3 linked regions of the Arabidopsis thaliana genome follow. The protein of the gene in region 3 interacts with the protein of the main gene of each other region in a pairwise test. Each region holds a gene or a part of one and is shown on either strand. Other genes may lie near its edges. The genes, in order: IAA20, MBD1 and MIF2.

Region 1 (3,989 bases), on a different chromosome or scaffold from region 3:
TAGAAGCGATTTGCTCCGTCTCGGTCTCTGTTTTGCTTGATCCGGAAGCTATGATTGGAATAAACAGAAACCCTATATTTTGCGTAAGCCGAATACTTTTGTGAGTTTTAAGTTGCATTATTTATAGATGGGATCGAACTTGGGCTTAATCAAAGGAGAAGGCCCATTTATTTCCAAAACACAAAGTAGGAAATATCAGGTGGGAATTTGTTGTTTCCCCTGCCTCCTTCCTTGTATATATCAAATGTACATTGTGGTCAAATCGATAATCAAATCCAAAAATTCTTCGAAAATTTAGAAGTTGTCTCTCGACATTAATTTGTCGCTTGGTTTTCTTGACTACTAGTATTTTCTGAAACTGGACTACATCCTATTTGACAAACAAAAGAAAGTACATCCTATAATTTTATTTATAAAAGCATTCAACTAATTATATAAATTCAAATATCCAATGACCAATGGTCTGACTGGTTTAATGCACTGAAACATGATTGTCGATCGGATAATTGTTTTTTCCTTTTTTTACTATTTTTTTGTGTACTACCGAGAATAATCAGAGTGAGTTCAAGATTTATGTACTATCTATCACAAAAGAAAAATGAAAATAATATTATAAATATCCGACCATTGATTTACATCAGGCAAAAACTTTTTTCTTGGCATTACTTCGATTTAAACACAACAAGTACGTAGACTTATATATCAGTAGTGGTAATTAGCTCTTGAAATCTTCAGTCTTCTCACAGTAGACAAGAACATCCTGCAAAAAATCAACCCACAAATTAAAAATATATATAAGGATGATCATATAGTTAATTTTCTGCATAATTAACAATCTAATTATACAAAAAAGGATGAAAAGAGTGCTTACTCCCAAGGAACATCTCCAACCATCATCCAGTCACCTTCCTTATCTGCGTACGTTAGCACGTGACTCTTCTCATTGCACATGTCTTCTTCTTCAGCCCCTATATATTTCCATTTTTTCAATTCCCATCAGTTTTCATCATTTTTACAATTTACCCATTACACAGTACTTACACACTGCGCAATATATAAACTCTACCTACGGAATAATAACTCTGACATATAACGTTATCCAGATTTTTTTTTTGACAAACAAACAAACAACCTATGAAATAGTGATGGGCGATTATTACGGCGATATTAACCTTCAAACAAAAGAATAGTAATGAGCGGAAGTATTTTTTCATTCCGTAAAAAAAAAAAAAAAATCAAAACGGACTTATAAGAAAGAAAAAAATATCGTTAGAAATTTGCTACCTCTAAGACATATAAATCATTCTGATATGACATTATGTATACATAGAAACTTACAGAGAATGGATGCGTTGAACATGAAATCAAGGGTTCTGATCAAGTCGCGGTAGCCATTAAGAGACATTAGATCGATCTTTCTTCCAATTGGAACTCCTTCCATGTTCACTTTCACGTAAAAGCTCCCTACACTGTTACACTCATTCTCTTCTTCCTCCTCCACAGCCGCCACATATTCCGCATCCTCTACCGCCGGAGCTGCAACGGAGTACCCATAGCCACCGTTGAAATATTGAGTCCCTGAGGATGTCCCGAAGCTGAGTCCGAGTCTCAGGTCCGTGCTTAGGTTTCGAGTACTTGACGAAGCACCGAATGGGTTGCTCTTGCTGCTACTCTCTATTGAAGAAGACGATGAACTTCTCCCTCTTCCCATATCTCTAGCTCTCTCTCTCTCTCTCTATCCTTTTTATAATAATTTTAGGTTAAGACAAATGAGTAATGAGCCGCCATGCTTGGTTTGTACGTGTGTGTTTATATAGAAGATAAAACTAGGACTTGTTTTTATTTTATTTTAAATTTGATATGGTCTTAATTCGTATTTTTGTTCAAAGTTCACACAAATAAAAAGCGACGGTGGAATGATGAGACAGCGTCCGCTAAAAATGTTGTTAGTGTAGCAGACCAAAACACGTGTCAAACGATGATTCGATCAAAGTGTTGGTTATGATTTTGTGGGTTCGGTTTCTCGCTAGTTAATGTTTGATATCTAACCCCAAAAAATAAATATATACATTTAGCTGTTTTGATGATATGAAGTAGTATTAAAGTTAATATTGAGAAATTACATCTTCTTAATCGTGTTCAATGCATGAAAGGTTATCGTGACGCGCATTGAGGCGTTTGTGGAACTACATTACTTCCCACATTTCCAAAATTAATGTGTTTTCATATGACCTCGATACAATTAACACTTTAATCAAACAAATTATTTTCGGAAAGTGTTTGGGTAAATGCTTGCTTAGTAATCGGATTAACACTTCTTTCTTAAGTTAATTAGGTATAGTTCTTTACTTCTGTTTAACAAAAGTTATGACGAAAGTTACGATGTGGAGTTGTGGACCCATCATATGTATGCAAGCATGACAAATGTTTGAGCCTACGATGATTCAAGTCCAAGTCATTATTAACCATAAAACAATGCGATTTAGTTCCACCAGATGATTTGAATAATCAAAACCCCCAATAAGTAAGTCTTAGACCGATTTTATTTCATGTAAAAAGAAGATAAATCTCATTTTTGTTTCTTTACAATTACGTTTATTCGAAGCTTAGACATAAAAAAAAATTAGTCAACTACTAAACAAGTTGTATCAGCGCTGCCATAATCGGTCTAAAACGGACTATTCCAAACCGGTAAAAAGTGCCTATATAATGATGTAAATCATACGTAATATATTTGCGAAAGAGAAGTTGTTAGACGTAATAATAACTAAATAAATAGAGAAAATTTGAAAATTGAAAAGAAAAAAAAAAGCGAAGGAAGAGAGGGGGCATGAGTAATGAATGGTTCACCTTAAAGAGAGGACCTAATGAGAGTTCCTTTGTCTATGGAACTTAAGGAGACGTCACATTTCTCATATTTGCAAGCACGAGAAAAAGGAAACACACACACTCACGACACAACGACCAACGACTATATTTCTTGTCATTACCCACGTGGCATTTTTGTTTCCACGTGGACTCCCTCAACCACAACATGTACATTGTACAATGGATGCGTGCCTTATGGTAAAATTATATAATTTCATTGAAAATATAATATAAGAATCAAATTTTAATGGATGTGTGCTTCGTGACGAAACTAATTTCATTTCAATTCATCAAACTTCGTTATTATAATTTCATCCTTCACAAAATAACACAACGTGCAAGCATAGTGTAGCTTGGTTTGGATTGAACCATGTAAGCAATTAGAGACATATACGCACTAGAGTTGAAACCGGCTTGGTTCCCTCGCTTAATTCAGGTTTCGATATTTCAGTTTGGAAAAAATGTACTAATTAGTTGGAACCAATTGAGTTTTAGAGAAATATTGAAGAAACAAAAAAAAAATCAAGAGAAAAAGGATAAAGGAGAGATGTTCCCTAACAACACTACAAATTACAATTTCCTCACTTTCTTATTTTCTTACTGCCTCCGCCTCCTCTCTGTCCCCTCTTTTCTTCCATTATTTTCATTTGCATCTTCTCTTTATTTCTTTGCAACTTTAATCTTATGATATGTAAATTGTAAATATACTCATTTTTTTCTATATTGAATAAAAAAACTTTTGTTAGAAAAAGATACACATATACGATATTTCCTCAAAAATAATATGAAGTACTGATTTTGGCAGTCATTATAGAATTGCATTTTATTGGAAAGATACACACATAGTTCAAGTACTTTATATATGCGCTAATTTTGAGAACTCCACTTTACTGCGTCGTGGTTGCTTGTCAGTCAAAACTTGGGCTTGCTTTTAAGATGCGTGATTGCATTTGCATGTCTCGTGGCTTTCTTTTTCTGTAGCCCCTCTTGTTGGACTAATCATAGCCTTTTGTTTCCTCCCTTTGCTTTAACATTACTGAAATTATCGGATTGTTTCTTTCATTTGTTGATTGGATGTATGTTTACATTATTACATGTGTATTCATTGTTATAATATACAA
Region 2 (3,769 bases), on a different chromosome or scaffold from region 3:
CTTTGAATCCGGTATATGTGTTTTTTAGTAGTGAAAAAGTTGTCATATTGGGTTTTCAGGTGGAAGATGCATACTAAAGATGGACCATCACTGTGTTTGGGTGGTGAATTGTGTTGGTGCAAATAACTACAAATCATTTCTCCTATTCTTGGTATGTCAACTTATCATAGCATCGCTGAACGAAGTTGTTTTTGATATGTTCTGTTCATTAATGTTGCCATGATCATAATCCATTCCCAATATCTCAAAAATGCAGTTTTACACATTTCTTGAGACAACGGTGGTTGCAGTATCACTATTGCCAATTTTCCTCGTATTCTTCAGCGATGGAGATGGTGATATAACCGTATCACCAGGAAGCCTAGCAGCCAGCTTTGTTGCATTTGGTGAGTTCAAAGATATAGAAATCTCAGTTTCCGTTTTTGTTTCAGAACACCTTAACGTTACCATCTGATTCAAAAACTTCACTCTCTTGCTTTCCAGTATTGAACATAGCATTTGCCCTAAGTGTCCTAGGCTTCCTAATAATGCACATAATGTTGGTCGCTCGTAACACCACAACTATTGAGGTAAAGCAACAACTCTCACTTGGTTTTGCTCTTAACTTGGGTTCTCTCAGGAATCTCCATGTCAATAAACTCACTGACCAAACTAATGGTTTCTTTAATCTCAGGCGTATGAGAAGCATACAGTGAACTGGCCATACAACGTTGGTCGTAAGACAAACTTTGAACAGGTTCGCTCTCCATCTTCTTTGTTTCACTCGTTCTTCAGTGACTGATTCGTTTCCCCGCTACTTAGATAATATCTTTGACATCGAACACAATGAAAGCTTTAAAAAGTTTGGTCTCTATTCCTTTGTTGAATCAGGTTTTTGGAAGTGATAAAATGTATTGGTTCGTGCCATTGTACACGGAAGACGATAAGAAGAAGTTGCCAGCACTTGGAGGGTTAGACTTTACGAGCAGGTCGGAGTCCGAGACAGAGCCGCTTCAGTCTCTATGACCTTACAAACTTGAAATTTTTGGAAGTGTGTCTTCTGCTTTGTGTATGTATCAATCAAATATTATATCAAACATTGTCTTGTGTATTATAAAGATTAGTGCCTATTGTGGAATTTGTATCTTTTTATTTCGTGAAAAGAAATTTCTCAAACTTCTTAAATATACCATTTTCACATTTGCTTAAATATACCATTTTCATTTTTTCACTATTGATAATAATAACATGTTATTTATCATAAAAAATAAAAAAATCACGACACGTGAATGATGTACTGTAACTATCAAAGATTTGACGTACCACATACTTTCTGTATGTTTTTGATCGAATCAAAAATAATTATTTTTGTCCTTTTTTGTTTTATTGTTATTTTATAATGTAATACTTTTACTAAAATAATTTTTTTTAAAAACTAAATTTCTGGTCTATATAATTTTGGCCAAATATGTACATATTTAAAATCCAGAGTCAACCATTTAACAAACACTTGGAAATTTAATTAATTATTATGCCCTGTTTAGTAGAAAATCCATTAAAAATTACAGAAATGGTCTGCGTGTCGCATTGAACCAATCATATCTCGACATCTGTAAATACAGTTGGAGAAGATTTTTTCTTCTTCTGCTGGCCAAAAAAAAACATTGCATTAAAAAGGGTTCAAAGAAAAATTCTCAAATTCTCTAACAAAGAGCTCTGAGATTTTTGGAAATCTGAATCGTTGTTCGAGGTATGAACTTTTGGATCACTCTCCTTGAATCTGCTCTTTGATTCGATTTCGTACTTGAATTTCGCAATTTTGGAGTTTTCTCTCGCTTCGTTATACTGATCGTTTAGGGCTTGAAATTGAAGGTTTAATGTTACCATTTCCGGCAATGAACTTGAAGAAGTCTCGATCGGAAAACTCATCAGTTGCTTCATCTGGAAGTAAGATTGAGGAGCAGACTGAGAAATCAGCTGAACCAACAACCATTAAGGTAAACCTCACTAAACCTAAACCCGGTTTCAATTTTGCTTTGTGGTCTCTCTTTACCACACAGATCTTATCATTGAATTCTATCTCTTAATTAGGGTTTTAGTTGAGAATCTTAAGGTTTTTTTTCAACCAGTTTCGAAGACTTAGTTACTAGTGTTATTTGACGAACTGATGCAGACATAAAGGTTATAACTTTATTTCTCGTTGTGTCTTTGGCTGATCAGTTATGTATAAAATTTAATCAATATTTATGCTATTTAAGGTTTCGCAGTGACCCTTTTCTTCAAATTTGGTTTTTGATTCTGCATGTTCTCAGTATCACTCTTTTGGTGGTGTCCCTGTTTTGACTTTTGTGTTTCTCTACGCATGTTTTCTCATCTTGCTATATATTAAACGATTTGTAGTATGATTCTGTTGATCCAAGTAGCTTGTGAGTGACTGTTCTTCTTTTCACCGAGATTCCATATTTGTATTGTGCAGGTGCAGAAAAAAGCCGGTACTCCAGGGAGGTCGATAGATGTCTTTGCTGTGCAGTGTGAGAAGTGCATGAAGTGGAGGAAGATTGATACTCAAGATGAGTATGAAGATATCAGAAGTAGAGTACAAGAGGACCCGTTTTTTTGCAAGACGAAAGAAGGTGTGTCCTGTGAAGATGTTGGAGATCTAAACTATGATTCCTCCAGAACATGGGTCATCGACAAGCCTGGCTTGCCGAGGACACCAAGAGGGTTCAAAAGGAGCTTAATTCTGAGAAAGGATTACTCGAAAATGGATGCGTACTACATAACTCCTACTGGGAAGAAGCTCAAGTCTCGTAATGAAATCGCAGCCTTCATCGATGCCAATCAGGATTACAAGTATGCACTGCTTGGAGATTTCAATTTCACAGTCCCAAAGGTGATGGAAGAGACGGTTCCTAGTGGGATATTATCTGACAGGACCCCCAAGCCATCAAGGAAAGTTACAATTGATTGAGCTACATAGCGCTTCCCAGCTTCTTATGGTGTTGAAGTTGTTATTGGAGTCAGTTTTAGGTTTCTATCTGGTTTAGTCTTTTAAGGGTGTCGGACTTCTTACTGTAGAATGTTTCTTAAACTCATCTCTTTGACTCTGATTGGATCTTTATTTTCTAATGAAGGATTATCTTTTCTTCTCTTTTTGTTATGTCACAAGTCACAACTACATGAATCGCTCTGGTTTTCACTCAGTGTGTACAAACAAACACGACAAAGTATATTCAAGCAGCATGTGTACAACTTCTTCTACTCCAAGCGCACCCTCTGCTATAGCGTGCGGTGTGCAAGTCCTCGCTTATGGGCTATTTATCCCATTCAACATTGAGTATTGGTCATAACCTCTTGGGACTGAGAGCTTTATGAAAAGAAGCCTTAAACAATGATTGCATATTTGGGATTTTCAAAAAGAAGACTCACAACATAACTTTATGTATGTTTCCGCTCTTGGGTTTTCTGACCAGCCCTTGAAGCTAGTCCTTTCTCAAGGTTTTGTGTATGTTTCATTAGTTTTTGTTTGTATCTGGAGTCTACCGTTTATTAGAAGTTTAGGTTGCTCCTTCCACCGTCCTTACTCCTTGGTTTAGTTGAATAAGCAGTTTTCTCATGTGGTCTTACTTGGTATGTAAAGGCTAACCTTTTGTGGGCATGCAAAGTTCTAAATTTAGACTCTTTAGGATGAAGATTACATGGCTACAATTTTTGATTCTTATATGTGATTTTTTCTTCTTGTTATTCGTCGTATTTGGGGTCCTTTTTCGCGATTTACATTTGCCTCGAA
Region 3 (3,268 bases):
AATGAAACTACAACAGTTTTTTTTTTTTTTTAAATATATATTATAAAGTACCAACAACGTTTGGTTATGCAATTATTGTTATATACCATCTCATGATTTATGTTTATATCTAATTTGGAAGGAGAAAATATCAATGTATTTCTTATAAAAATATCAAAGGATTGACGGAACACATGAATAAGAAAATTTGATGTCTAACCGAAAAACGAATGAATGTATGCATGTGTAATTCAAAAAAATCGATACGTAACTGCAAAGGAGCAAGCGATCGTGAAGGATTGCGTTGTCCTCATGATGTACAAAATAGGTTTGGTAGCCCAACTTATCAGTCCCACGTTGTTAGGTCCAAATGTATATACATTTATACACACTTCTATTTTTGTTCATGACTATTCATCATACAATCTTAAATATATTGATTGGTACTTAGATTACAACGAAAATTGATTTTTTTTATTTAAATCCGTACAATTCCTCGGGTATACTATAGAAGTGGGTCAAGATATCACATAGCCGACATAATCACTTTTTGGTCTATGCATATATATTCGATCTCGATACCAAGTTCGATTCTTTATGATACGTATAAATAATTTTCGTAACCACCTGTCTAATTATGAAATAAAATAGAATGAAAGAAGGAAATAAAAAGAGGATTAAAGAGGATGAATGTTAAAGGGGGCCACCACAGTACATATTAGGTCTTAAAAAGACAAGCTTAGCTGTTTCCTTCCTTTTAAAACCAATCACTTTGTTTGGTCTTAAAGAAAAGCTTTCTCATCATTTTAGGGTTTTCTCGCAAAATAAATCGAACAAAAGTTGCATCCACAAACTTCCACACATAATTTAATTTTTGTCGTAATATATTTACTGTTGCAGGTTGTAATTCTTCATCCACTTCATTTTATTCTATGGCTTATGGTTATGGTTACTAGTTAGCGCACAATATATATTTGTTGGAATGTAAGAGTACGTATTCTGCGAAAGTGGAATCTAGCAGAAGTTTGGAAGATCCAAATACAATGTATAAGGGTGATATTATCAACTAAAGACGGGTGCCTAACTCACAAAGTGGTGGCTCCATGTCTCGTGAATGTTTTGTTTTTGTATCTCTGGAGTTATGACATTTTGGTCCGTCCATTCGGATCAAAAATCAGAACGATGACAAATATAATCTCTTTCTTAACTGGAGATCAGTAGATTCCAATTTCGATTCAGCATAAACTTATTCAATTTCTTCTAACCGGATGAGACAAGTACTAGTACGCATTATTGCAATATTAAAGTGTCTTAGTATTCCAAAAACAAAAATTACGATACTTTAAACATAATCTGAATTTTGTATAACATGAGCCAAAAAGAAAACATCCACCATATTTAGGTTGGTAACAAGAAAACAAAACTTGTAATTATAATTCAATGCATAGTTGTGGTCATTTAATTACAAAAGACAGATATACATATATGATATACCCATCAAAAACAAAATTCTGGTAGATTAGCTTAGTAGGTCTGATTGGTTGTGATGATGCATCAATCTATACCATGACATGTACATCTACACACACACACATATATATATATATATATATATGCAGTTGCAAGAAAAATATCTAAGGTTTGGTTGTCGATTGCTATCAGAAATGCTATAAATATCACATCTAGGGTTAGGGTTAACAACCGAGGTCCTCTTGTAATTGTTTTGATCTTTCACTCCCTAACTATTTCGAGCCGTAGAAATTAAAGTAAAAGAACAAAAACTTTATTATACATTTTTCTCTTCCTCTTTAATATATATACATTATTACAAGTTTAGATTTCATAAAAAAAAGTCAAGAAGAAGAAAGAGCTGAGACGAGAATTGAAGTGAGAAAGCATGAGGAAGCGTCAGGTGGTGTTGAGGAGAGCCTCGCCAGAGGAACCTTCTAGAAGCTCGTCGACGGCTTCGTCTCTGACAGTGAGAACTGTGAGGTACGGAGAATGTCAGAAGAACCACGCTGCGGCGGTGGGAGGTTACGCTGTTGACGGCTGCCGTGAGTTCATGGCAAGCCGAGGAGAGGAAGGTACCGTGGCAGCGCTAACGTGCGCCGCCTGTGGCTGCCATCGCAGTTTCCATCGGAGAGAAATAGAAACCGAGGTTGTTTGCGACTGTAATTCACCTCCTTCTACTGGAAATTAGATAAGAAAAATCTAGAGCTAGCTATGAGTGTGTTTGTGTGTTACATATACAGATGATGAAACTGAAAATATTTTATTTGCTTTTTTTTCTTCTTTAATATGAAAGGCTTGTGTTTCTTTGTGAATTTAAGAAGAAACTATAAGAGATTTATAGATTGAAGGTGGTGGAAGCATTGAAAGATTTATAATAATTGGATGCTTTTGGGGTTTGAGAATGTTCAGAAAAGGTTAGGCTTCTGAAGTGAAATATTAAGATTATTGTTGTTTTTCATGTATTATATTGTTTGATTTGTATTCTGGTTGGGTCATGTTATTGTATTTTGATCTATTTTGATTATTTTGTCGAAGCTGACGAAGCATGTGTGGTGTACTCGTGTTTCAATTCAATGTCGTCCACTCAAGACAATTGTTAAGTGTATTGTGAAAGGAATTTGTTACAAAATCAATATGTGTATTTACTGATAAATGAATGAATGAGATTGATTGTTCCTTAACATATATGGAAGGTTCTTCGCTTGTGATAAGGTAGCTGAATATAGTAACCCATTTATTGATTATCTCAATAACTAATTTAATTAATTATATATATATATATATGTATATATTAGTATAAATAAATCACTAATGATTGTAGTAAATATTTTTTTTGGGAGGCGATGAAAAAAGGTTTAAATTGATCCCTTTGAGACCACTCCTATAGCTTTATTTTTAAAAAATATAAATGGTGGAGTTAAGTCTCACACTATTTTCCATGATTTATCTTAAAATATTTAGCTTTATGTGAAGTGCATAAAGCTCAGATTTATGTGAAGGGCATGTTAACTCGAGACCGATTAGATTATTTAAGCTCAGATTTCTTAATTATGCTATGATGAGAACCAATATTTTCAGGGATATATGCCTTCCCAGCTTTTAATTAAAAATAGTATATATTAAAATATTCTATAACCTTTTAGCTTTAAGAGAGATTTTTCAAATTTTATTTCAGAGGATAAAAGATAGGCAAATAAATTTGAATTTAATTGGGAGGCGGAGGCCCACAAATCTAATCCTTGTTGGTTGCTAACTTGCTATGATGGAGAAAAATTAG

What was found.
Region 1: the proteins of MIF2 (region 3) and IAA20 interact in binary tests that used the Arabidopsis thaliana proteins (3 or more experiments, as listed by UniProt).
Region 2: the proteins of MIF2 (region 3) and MBD1 interact in binary tests that used the Arabidopsis thaliana proteins (3 or more experiments, as listed by UniProt).

Annotation. Positions count from the first base shown.
Region 1 is NC_003071.7:19,305,583-19,309,571, reverse strand, and holds IAA20 (indole-3-acetic acid inducible 20), read right to left. Parts: upstream 1,859-3,989; 5' UTR 1,712-1,858; coding exon 1,339-1,711; intron 969-1,338; coding exon 872-968; coding exon of another isoform or gene 868-871; exon of another isoform or gene 761-867; coding exon 703-760; 3' UTR 501-702; downstream 1-500. Other genes in the region: AT2G46995 (uncharacterized protein), read left to right, coding at 1-104.
Region 2 is NC_003075.7:11,946,602-11,950,370, reverse strand, and holds MBD1 (methyl-CPG-binding domain 1), read left to right. Parts: upstream 1-1,566; 5' UTR 1,567-1,729; intron 1,730-1,851; 5' UTR 1,852-1,856; coding exon 1,857-1,976; intron 1,977-2,455; coding exon 2,456-2,950; 3' UTR 2,951-3,161; downstream 3,162-3,769. Other genes in the region: AT4G22750 (DHHC-type zinc finger protein), read left to right, coding at 60-151, 257-386, 484-569, 674-736, 871-1,005. UniProt on the Arabidopsis thaliana protein: Probable transcriptional regulator.
Region 3 is NC_003074.8:10,923,138-10,926,405, forward strand, and holds MIF2 (mini zinc finger 2), read left to right. Parts: upstream 1-1,570; 5' UTR 1,571-1,876; coding exon 1,877-2,179; 3' UTR 2,180-2,676; downstream 2,677-3,268. UniProt on the Arabidopsis thaliana protein: Inhibits zinc finger homeodomain (ZHD) transcription factors by interacting with them to prevent both their nuclear localization and their DNA-binding properties.